Linked DNA regions of Ovis aries. The protein of the gene in region 2 interacts with the protein of the main gene of each other region in a pairwise test. Links are inferred from orthologs where the notes say so. Each region holds a gene or a part of one and is shown on either strand. Other genes may lie near its edges. The genes, in order: ABI2, VASP and TRIM9.

Evidence for each region.
Region 1: the proteins of VASP (region 2) and ABI2 interact in binary tests that used the Homo sapiens proteins (3 or more experiments, as listed by UniProt). The link is inferred for Ovis aries from reciprocal best matches to the Homo sapiens genes VASP and ABI2.
Region 3: the proteins of VASP (region 2) and TRIM9 interact in binary tests that used the Homo sapiens proteins (3 or more experiments, as listed by UniProt). The two-hybrid records come from large-scale screens. The link is inferred for Ovis aries from reciprocal best matches to the Homo sapiens genes VASP and TRIM9.

The regions. Positions count from the first base shown.
Region 1 is NC_056055.1:205,328,360-205,332,105, reverse strand, and holds the start of ABI2 (abl interactor 2), read right to left. Parts: upstream 2,433-3,746; 5' UTR 2,395-2,432; coding exon 2,278-2,394; intron 1-2,277. UniProt on the Homo sapiens protein: Regulator of actin cytoskeleton dynamics underlying cell motility and adhesion. Functions as a component of the WAVE complex, which activates actin nucleating machinery Arp2/3 to drive lamellipodia formation.
Region 2 is NC_056067.1:52,902,057-52,905,564, reverse strand, and holds the end of VASP (vasodilator-stimulated phosphoprotein), read right to left. Parts: coding exon 3,473-3,508; intron 2,942-3,472; coding exon 2,890-2,941; intron 2,729-2,889; coding exon 2,692-2,728; intron 2,471-2,691; coding exon 2,425-2,470; intron 2,272-2,424; coding exon 2,181-2,271; intron 1,648-2,180; coding exon 1,590-1,647; intron 1,466-1,589; coding exon 1,428-1,465; 3' UTR 612-1,427; downstream 1-611. UniProt on the Homo sapiens protein: Ena/VASP proteins are actin-associated proteins involved in a range of processes dependent on cytoskeleton remodeling and cell polarity such as axon guidance, lamellipodial and filopodial dynamics, platelet activation and cell migration.
Region 3 is NC_056060.1:42,182,377-42,186,122, reverse strand, and holds the start of TRIM9 (E3 ubiquitin-protein ligase TRIM9), read left to right. Parts: upstream 1-1,429; 5' UTR 1,430-1,620; coding exon 1,621-2,442; intron 2,443-3,746. UniProt on the Homo sapiens protein: E3 ubiquitin-protein ligase which ubiquitinates itself in cooperation with an E2 enzyme UBE2D2/UBC4 and serves as a targeting signal for proteasomal degradation.

The DNA.
Region 1 (3,746 bases), on a different chromosome or scaffold from region 2:
GAGCCAGCCAAATGTGCAGCTGAGTCAGCACAAATCCACTATCACCATGTTCTATTTATCAACTTTACTACAAACAAATCATGTACGAGTTGTCATCTGTTGAGAGAACGCCAATAATATACCCACTGGATCCTAATAGCACCTATTTTAGGTTCTAAATTGAAGAAACAAGGTATTTTAAAATCCAAATCCATTTCTATTAATCAGCACTTATATTCTGAATTTTAAAACACCGCATTAAATTCTGAGTCCCACCGCTAAGACAAATGATGGCAGCAACATTCTTCTCCTTTGAACCGCAAGGAATATAGTGATGACAATGGTTGATCGCTTCACTCTCTCAGCTTTATCAACTCAGGTACTTTTACCTTTAGGTAACAACTGCAACCTAAGAGGAACTATACCTTCAAATTACAATAAAAATTATCTTCCAAACAAAGAGAACTTTTTTAAAAAAAATTAGCAGTGATAACTGCAACCCAATCACTTTCCACCCTGTTTCTCTTCTGAGACCTGTAACTCTTTCCCATATGTTGCACAAGGAATTGTAACGACTACTTCAGTCCTTTTAATTTGCCTCTCCTAGAGACTCTGAATTTCCAGAGTGAGGATAGCATAGTTTCCTCCAGTCCTTCTTCCCACCTGCAGCCCATTAAGAATATAAACTGACGCTCAAAATGGAATTCATCTGCTAAAGATCAGCCTTCCCACTAACTATACAATGAAATTCTGTAGACACTAGCTACCTATCAACTCTTAACAATGCCAGGCCATATTACACTTTCAAATATATTTAGTGAAAACTAAGCATCTCAACCTTTTACTCTCTCCTACCACACTCAGTATCAGCAAAGCACCCCATGAATATGGACATCTGTACTGTCTATATGAGCCTTTGACCCAAGACACACTCTATCTTTTCCTGCTGGCCATACTTTCAACTTTCTCTTTGGAGGGAAAAGCCTTGGATTATGTCTGATTCATTCTCCAGTACAAATATTCCATACAAGAAAATATAGTGCTCAGGATATGTCCAATCAAGTAATATCTTACAACACTATCCTTGATTAACCATATGATCCTTACAAAATTTATGAACCTATAAATTTTAACACCTTTTTTTTCTTTGGTTCACACCAAGACTTGAGAATGCTTCCCAATATAGCTGATGTTAGGAAAGATGCCTGGAGAGATGGAGGTGGGAGAAGGAAAAAAGGCCATAGTGAAGGAACAATTTAACACATTGCTTCCATTTCCACCTATATCCCAAGAGAATTTAAATGGGAAGGGAAAAGATGGAGGTAGAACCTATGATTCAGAATAAGCTATAAAGAAAACAAAAGATGCTGACTTTGCAAACTGTGCATCTTAAACTATCCTTTCAAATAATTTTTTAAAAAGAATTGTTTTTAATCACATAATCTTGCTTCTTCCAGAAGAGGCTCAATTTCATCTCACCCAATACCCCCCGCCTTCATACACAAACATACAGTGCTATCACTGAGTCCCGATGCCAAACCAACCATCACGGAAAATTTAAACCGTGAGAATTATTTCCCATTTCTCTCTGAAAGATAATCACAAAAAATTTCCCTGCAGGCAAATTAGCTATTTCTAACGGGCTTGGAGGCGGGTGGCAGAAGGGAATAAACCATTATCATGCAGCTTCTCATTCTCCATAGAGAAGAAAACTGGCATTAACTTCCAACAAGGGGGACAGCTGCTCTTATACTGTATCCTCAGTTAGAACCTAAAAACAAGGCAAAAAAACCACGCTGAGCTTTTGATACATTCAAATGAATATAAAGCTACGGCATTTTACTTTGCAGCAATATAGCGCCTCAAAAATCCTCCAGAGATTGGGGGCGACCCATTAAACCCCAAATCCTTGCCATATGGGGGAGTAGGATTCTGTCAAATAGAAAATGCCACTCTCCGCCTCCTCCGCCATCGCGAAAATTGACCGGCACCGATTGCGGAGGCGGCCGAGGGAAGAGAGGAGGCGGGGACACACACACGCACACACACCCCGCACCGAGAACTGATTCACGGCTTTTGAAAAATGCTTGAAAGCTACAATTTCCTCCAACCGGAGAATTCTCACCCATTCTCCCGCTCCCACCCTGCTTCTACCCCTGCTCAGCTGCACTGTGTCCCTGCTGCGGCCTCGGCCCCGTGTGCCCTACGCCCCCAGGCGCGGCCCCCGGGCCGGGGGTCCCCCACGCGCCGCTCAGCAGCCAGAGGCCCAACACGCCCAGGCCGGCAGATGCGTCGCACCTGGATGTAGTTGTTCTCGCAGTAATCGGCCACCCGTTCCAGATTCGTGTAACTGTCGAAGAGGGCCCGGCGGCCCCCCGGGATTTCCTCCTCCAGCAGCATCTGCAGCTCCGCCATCTTCACATCCTCCTCCTCATACAGACCGCAGAGGCAGCGGCGGCAGTAGCGCCAGGGAAACCCAAGACTAGGAGAGGAGGAGCCGAGGCGACGGCGGCGGCAACCCGGGAGGAGCGAGAAACACCCCCTGAGCGCGCGACAGGGGAGGGGGCAGCGGGAACGGGGGCGGGGCGCGAGCCGATGGACTCGGAGGACGGTCACCGCGGCGACGGCCGGCCCGGCGCGCGCACGCGCGCTCCTCTCCCTCCACCCCCGGGAGCCCGAAAAAGGTTCCCACCCTTGGTCGCGCCGCCCGCCCCTCCCCCACATCCGGCGTCTCCTAGCGACCGCGGGAGTGGGGGCCGGGATGCGCGCGGGAGTTGAGCTCGCGGTTAACCCTTCGGCCCCCGCAGGATGCGTGGCTGGGGCAGTGCACCCCGCGGCCTTTGTTAGTCCGGCGTGAACGCCCACCCGGCTCTGCGGTCTTCCCGCCCGCTTCTTCAGCGACTTTCCTCGGCGTTATCCTCAACCTGGGGCCCAACCTTATGGTAGTGGGCCTGAGGGATAATATTAGCCCCACTGAACTCCCATGCAGCTTTAACTGCGCCCCACTTTTAATTTTTCTCATCTTTGACCGTATTCATCCTCTTTGGATAAATAAATTTCAGTTTCCTAATCCCAAATTTCCTGCCCTCCAGCTTCTTTGCACCTGTTTGCCAATCAACAGTTTCCCCTGCCAGGTTAGCCTCGGTTCTTTTCTCCTTTGCCCATCCTCTGGCCTTCAGCTTTTCCCACTTGCTCTGTGCTACTCTTCAGTGACAATCGTTTTTATCACTTTCCTGAGTCTATCAACTTTTTTCCTCATCTACTAAGGATTTAAAGTTTAAAAAACGATTTTGCTGGTACTTTCCTTCCTCACAGGGCTATTACATGGATAAAAGTTTATATGAAAGCACCTTGGAAAACGTTAAATGCCACAAAAATTCAAGGTAGACCATTTTGGTCTTGCAGTTACTATTCTGTATTGTATATTTTTTTTCCCCTAAATCTGACTACTCCACACATGTAATTTTTAAAAACTGAAATTTCTGACAACTGCTGAGATATTATAAAGTCCATGACCTTTATTTGTACCATGGAAAGTCAAAGCTGACTGCCTTTGCAGTTTAGAGCAAGATCTATTATTTCAAGTCTTGTATTTGTGATCTCTTGGCCCGCCTAGTGATTTTGCCCCTCCTTTTTTTTTCTCCCCTGATAATGAGGAAATTACTGTCTCAAATCACTTTAATGCTTTCCTATTGTTTTATTGGCTTTTTGATATACACATTGGCAAATTGTTTTGAGTTTTTTCTGTGTAACCCAAGTTAAAGGAT
Region 2 (3,508 bases):
CCACCCCCCCACCTTCATGCAAAGTCTTCTGCCAGTGAAGTCTGCCCCTCAGCCCTGAAGTTCCCTACCTCCAACAGAATGGAATAATTCCACCAGGCTACCTCACCTACCCCTGCCCACCCAATGAACCACCGAAGAGGGGGGTGTGTATGACCTCTGATTCCTGAATGCTACTTTTTAAGACTGTAAATATTGTAATAATTAAAGGAGCTCTGGAGGGAAAAAAGTCATCTTAAGAAAGTGTCTTGAGAACCATGATGTACATCTGCCAACTGGTACAAGGCTCACTAAAATTAGAAGCTCGAAGGGTTCCCGGTGGGAGAAGGCCTGAGTCAACCTTCGAGTCCTTTCCCAGACAAAGACACTGAGGTCCAGGAGAACCAAAGGGTCTGGCCCAAGGGCAAACGGTCAATGAGGGATGCCCTTGGCTTTCTCTAGGGCTGGGTGGAAAGGAGTAAGGAAGCTGCCCATTGAGGGGCACCGGGAAGCCAAGAGGGGGCAGAGGAGCAGGTTCCGGTGGGAAGGAGGAAAGTGAGGGAAGGTGGATTACTGAGGGAGGGAGGGACATGCCCATCCTCATGAGAGCAGCCATTCAAATGACACCAGAAATCTTAGCATTTATAAAAACTGGCAGATTTATTCCGCAGGGGCCCATTTCCAAGAAGCTAAAGGTGAAGGTAAGAGGGGAGGTTCCTCCCCTACTCCTTTCCCCCTTATCTTGTTTATCCCCAGGGGGTAAAAATGGCCTAGACCCCAAAACCTACCCAAATAAAAAACCAAAAAACTGAGGTTCCAAAAAGTTACAGCATCTTAATTCCTCATAGAAAAGGGGAAGGAGACAGAGGGAAGGGAGGGAGGTCCCTGGGGTAGGGGGAGGCACCCCCAGCCTGGTGGGACAACCCTCCTTACACAGCTGTCCCAAATGGGACAAGCCAGGGACACAGCATTTAAAAACTCCCACACCCCATTTTATCAAAACCAAAGAGAAAAAAAAATTTTCCTCCCCCCACAACAAACCTAAATATATATATATATATATACTTTTTTTTCTTAAAAAACAAAACTTCAAAGGCATTAAGCGTTAAAGTGAATCTACAAGGGAATGTGAAATTCCCTCCTTCCTTCCCCCTTACTGTGGGGTTACTTGGTACATCCCCAGCAGAGGAACCAGCCCCAAGGGGATGGCAGAGGGGAAGGATCAAAGGGAACAAAGGGTGGGGGCTTCCCCAGCCAATCAGCAGCCAATATGGGTGTGGGCACGGTGCTGGGGAAGCCACACCCCTTGGAATTTTCCAAGTGACATAGGGAGTGGGGACGATGCATTCCTGTGTAGACTTCAGCCAATTCCAAGTCGAGGCAGGGAAAGCAGGGTGACAGGTGGAGGGGGTATGCAGAAAGGAGAAACTGGATTTTCTGGGGCCCTGTGGTCAGGGGGCACCCCGCTTCCTCAGCTCCTGGACAAAGGCTGGAAGGAAACAGTGGGCAGAGGTCAGGGGCAGAGCCTCTTCCCCTTCTCCCTTCCAAAACAAGGTTCCAAGGGACACCATGCCTCCAAAATAAATAAATGCTTAAAAAGGAAAACACCTCACCTTCAATTATTTCCTCTTTCACTTTCTGCAATTCCTTCCTCACCTCTTCCAGAAGCTCCTGAAAATGATGGGGGTACAACCAATGAGGAAGAGTACCTGGACTTGCAGAAGTGAATCCCCAGTTTCTTAATGACTGAGGGGCCAGAGGAAGGAGGGTCAAGACCCGTATCGCACACACACCATGACATCACTGGCCAGGCCACAAAGTGACTGAGATTTCTAGAGGAGAATTCTGGATCCTCTGAACCAGAGAGAAAAGCAATGGAGAACATCCAGTACCAGGGCTGGCAAATGAGACATTCCAGTCTCCTGCCAACTCCGGTTGGCGATAAATGTCTGCGGCCAGTGTGCGGAAAAGGATTCTGGATATTCACCAGGAATGAGTGTAGTGATGTTAGCAAGGTCTGTCATGGGCGTTGTACAAGGCGGTTATGGGGTCTGTCATCCCTGACACGATCCAATTTCTCCAGTACTCAGACTGGGAAGCTGAGGGTTCCAAGGCCTTTTCTAGAATCACATAGCAGGTCAGTGGCAGAGTCTAGACCCAGATCTTTCTATCCCCTAACCCTCACCCCCAGTCCCCTCCCCTACCTGTTTCACCCTCTCCAGGTCTGACTCATCACTGGAGCTAGGCGTAGGTGGGTGGGCCTCGGAAGTGGCCACTGAAGACGACGACTTCATCCTGGGAGAGGTGGCGTGGTGTGGGGCAGAAACAAGGTTAGAGAGAGGGTCTGCCTCCCCTGCCTCCCATTCCAGGGGTCACTCTGTGTTCCTCCCTACAAACTTGGCAAGTCCGACTCTTTCTAGGGGTGGGGCCCCAGTACTGATGGCCCACCTTGGCAAGGTTGTGCTGTTCTTCTCCCAGGGTCTCCGCACAGATTCTGGGGGACAGACAATAAGTCAAAAAGATCAGGAACAAGGAATGCCCTGCCTCAGCCTTTCTTCCCGAGCCTCATCAACCCCCATTCAAAGAACCATCTCAGGAGACTACAATCCCCAGGATTATCTGTACAGACTCTCCCATGAAGGTGTGTTATACATGAGAAGAGGGCATCCTGGGACTTGTAGTTCCTGTGACTAGAGGGGGCTCTCACTCACTCACCACTGTGGGCTGGGACTCTGGCGTCTGACTCCTCCTGCTGGTGGGAAATAAAACTGTCATGAGCCAGACATGGCCATTCTGCTCCTTTTCTTCCTCCACCTTCAAACACAGCCAATCCCTATCACAGCCCCCGCCCCAATATTCCTACTCTAATGGTACATCCTAAGGTGTATAAGGCAGGAAGGGTCCCTAACTCACATTGGCAGATTCATCCTTGGTGGGTTTCTCTCCAACTTGCGTGGCTTTCCTTCTGTGAGAGAGAAAGGCAGAAACAGATGGCTTCTGTCCCCTCTCAGCCACTCAATAGTTCCCTTCCCCAGAGTTCTGGAAAAGTGGGTCCTAGGGTGCCGACTTCTGGAATTCATCAAGGCTAAGCACATTTTAATTTTAGAAGTCAAAGAGAGTGCTGTTCTCGAATGAGGGGGTGGGGGTGGCGTTTAGGATTCCTACATTTGGGAATCACAAAATTCTCAGGGCAGAGTCCCCAGCTTCTGAGGTGGGGTCATCTAAGGTCCTACAATTCTGGGTTCCAGAACATTCCAGAGGCTACCTAGGGGGTTGCAAACCTCAGTCATCTCAGGAGAATGCAGTCCCCATCATTATATCTCAAACCTGGCTGTCAAAGGATGAACTTTCACCCAACGAAACAAACTAACCAGGAATCTGAGCCCTCCCCACACCTGGTCCTACTGAACCGGAATCTCCAGGTGATAACTGCTGGGTTGAGGGGTTTGTTTTGAGAGCTTTCCAAGACCATTGAGAGCTCTGAGCTCGGGCTCACCTCCGGGCCAGCATGGCGTTCATCTCCTCCATGAGG
Region 3 (3,746 bases), on a different chromosome or scaffold from region 2:
CAGCATATCACCATGTCACTTAACTTAAAAGTGGATTTGGGGGTGTTTTTTTTTTTTTGGTCCTCCATCCTGGGTTTGATCCCTAGGTCGGGAAGATCCCCTGGAGAAGGAAATGGCAATCCACTCCGTACTATTGCTTGGAAAATCCCATGGACAGAGGAGCCTGGTAGGCTACAGTCCATGGGATAGCAAAGAGTCGGACACGACTGAGCGACTTCACACACACACATCATCATCAGATCAGCAGTTCTGCAAGCAAGGGACAGGACCAGTTATCTCCAGCGATGACTGGGGAGAGAGAGAAGAGTGCTTAATATTTAAGGACTGACACTAGAACTACCCTGTCCCGCCCCCATCCCCCCATCACCATCACCTTATGCACTTCACTAGAAGAAACAGGAAGAACCCACCATCCTGGAAGCTGTGGTAGACGCTATTTGGTGTCACACACTGAGACTCTGCAGTGACACAGTGATCCATTTACTGAACTGTGGGCACTCAGAAATAAGCAACCCAATCCTGCCTCAACTGAACCAGATTCTGCTGCTCTTGTGGAAGCTCGGCCAGGTGCTGACAGCATGGTGAGAGGATAGCTTTGAGGTAACCGGGACTGAAGTGGGGATATAGGGACACAGTCACATCACACCGTAAGAAGCCTCTGGGCCGAGTTTGTACTGACAGCGTGAAATGAAGGGGGCATAGATTTTAACTAGTATACTGAGCTTTACGTGAGTCCCTAGTTTAAGTCACACAGCAACTAGGAAATCGATAGTCAGTCCCCCTTTAGACAGCAGGAACTAGGACAGAAAGAAGACAAAGAAGAGTTGACTCCTGCCAGGGCTCAAGGCCTGTACCATCGGGTCCCCGGAAGCTGGAGCGCAGGGACCGGCTTTCGCGGGTTCCTGAGCTGGGGAGAAAGTCCCCGCTGCGGTACAGAAACCGAGGTCTGGGTGAGGCGCCAGCAGCGGAAGGAGAAGGGCCGTCTCCTCTGTGGTGCAGCACCCGCCGAGGGGAGGTCGGCGCGGAGACCATAGCTGCAAGCCAAACGCAAACGCGGGCGACAGGCATCAGCCCCTCTGCCAGCCCCCTCCCTGCGAGGAGGGGTTTCTCACGCTCCGTTCTCGGGAGACTGAGCCGGAGGTCGGAAGGAAGAGGGGCGAGGGATGAGTCATCCCGCCTAATTCCTCCTTCCCGGTCCCTTCGCCTCCGCTTGCCGGCCGCCTCCCGAGATCATGCAGCCGGGAATGAAAACTCCCCTCATCCTCAGAATCCTCCACCAAACCCCCTGTGACCGGCAGAGAAGAGGAGAAGGATGGGGCATATGGCCAATGAGAGCTTCGCTCTCTCGCTCTCCGTCCAATCGGCCGCTGTTTACAGGCTGGGGCGGGACTAAGGTGCGAGGAGGGGGCGTTCCCGGCTGGCTCTGGGCGCCGAGGTTCGGTGGCTCTTAGAGAGAGCGCCTCGCTGGGAGTCGGCGCCTAAGCGACGCGAGAAGGCGCCACTGCCAAAACCACCGCCGCCACTGCTGGCCAAGGTGCTGGACACGACAGGCCAGCCGGCCACCTCGTCAGCTCAGGCGCCCGTTGCAGCCGCAGCTGCTTCGCTCCCAGCCGGATCCCCATGGAAGAGATGGAAGAAGAGTTAAAATGCCCCGTGTGCGGCTCCTTCTATCGCGAGCCCATCATCTTACCCTGCTCTCACAATATATGTCAGGCGTGCGCCCGCAACATCCTGGTACAGACCCCGGAGTCAGAGTCCCCCCAGAGCCGACGGGCCTCGGGCTCCGGGGTCTCTGATTATGACTATCTGGATCTGGACAAGATGAGCCTGTACAGCGAGGCGGACAGCGGCTATGGCTCCTACGGGGGGTTCGCCAGCGCCCCTACTACACCGTGCCAGAAGTCCCCCAACGGCGTCCGTGTGTTCCCCCCGGCTATGCCGCCACCGGCCACCCATCTGTCACCGGCCTTGGCCTCTGTGCCCCGCAACTCCTGTATCACCTGCCCCCAGTGCCACCGCAGCCTCATCTTGGACGACCGGGGGCTCCGCGGCTTCCCCAAGAACCGCGTCCTGGAAGGGGTAATTGACCGCTACCAGCAGAGCAAAGCGGCTGCCCTTAAATGCCAGCTCTGCGAGAAGGCACCCAAGGAAGCCACCGTCATGTGTGAACAGTGCGATGTCTTCTACTGTGACCCGTGCCGCCTGCGCTGCCACCCGCCCCGGGGTCCTCTGGCCAAGCATCGCCTGGTACCCCCGGCACAGGGCCGCGTGAGCCGGCGGCTAAGCCCACGAAAGGTCTCCACCTGCACAGACCACGAGCTGGAGAACCACAGCATGTACTGCGTGCAGTGCAAAATGCCCGTGTGCTACCAGTGCTTGGAGGAGGGCAAACACTCCAGCCACGAAGTCAAGGCTCTAGGGGCCATGTGGAAACTGCACAAGGTAAGTCCTAAGAAAACCCACCCCTAACTCCCCGCACCTCCGATCCTCCGTTTTGCAGCAGATGACACTTCCCCCCCTCTTTTGCGCACAGTGCATCCCAACGGGAGCGCAATGCAGGTGCCTCCGATATCTGCTTCCCCCGTCTGGTGCATTGCAGGAAGCGCAGGGGGACCTTAAACGGCGCACAGGGGAGTTGAACCTCTCCAGAGAGTTGTTTCGGGGATGCGTAGAGCGGGTCTCCCCGGGCACGCTGCCTGCGAGCTAGGCGCAGGGCGCCCCCTCCCCGCCGCAGACGTGCAACTCTGGGCCGCCACCAGCGAGTAGGAAAGCGATGCGTTTACTGGGCCGACCCGCGGCTGTTCTCAGGGACGCTCCAGGGCAGAGCCGGTGTGGGGCTCCAGCCGTGATCCCCGGGGAGGAGGTGGGGGCGGTTGGGTGGCGCGGACCGCTGGGTGCGGAGCTGCTGAATAGGCTGGCGCCTGGAGTCGCGGCGGGGGCGGGAAACACGCTGCGAGCGGAATACTGATTAGTAGGCGCTGGCCCATCCCAGCGTCCGCGCTGGAAGGATGCGGATCCGGGTGCTTTGCGCTCAGGAGGTGTATGAGTGGGGAGTAGGGTGGAAGAAAGGAAAAAAAAAAAAAAAAATCCTGTAGTCGCCATGGCAACACGGCCGGAGGCTGAGGCCCTGACCCTCGCGGAGAGGACGTGGGCTGGAGGAGCAGGACCGGAGGTTTCTGCGCGGTCGCGGCCTGAAATCTAGGCAGGTGCATCTTCCAGTTTCTCAGGGTAACCCCTCCTATTGACCGCCTACACACCCGTTTGTCCAGAATTCAGCCGTTTTCCTTTATCAGTAATTGTCTGTGCAAACTTTGAGACACCTGTTACCAAATTTATCTTTCTGATGTCTTTTGATGGCACCGCCGCCAAAGCTAGCCTCAAGAACAGGGCCTTTAACAACTTGTTAGGTCATGCCTCTCCCCTGTTCAAAGGCCTTCCGTTCCCCCCACGTTTCTTAGACAGTCCTTAGGAAGGTCCACCAGGACCTCACATGACCTGTTTTCTTTGGCCTCACCGACCTTATTTCCTCCCACCCCCTCTGCTTGAGCCGGCTGTCCCTCTTGCTGTCCCTCCACAAACACCAGGCCCCCCTGACCCCAGGGCCTTTGCTTCTGATACTCCTTCAGCCCCAGACCAAATACCCTGTATCTTAATAGTTCATTCTTTTGCCTCTTTCAGATCATTACTCAGATGTCACCCTTGCAGTGAGACCTTTGTGATTCGTTTAGTTCCCTCTCTGCTTTATT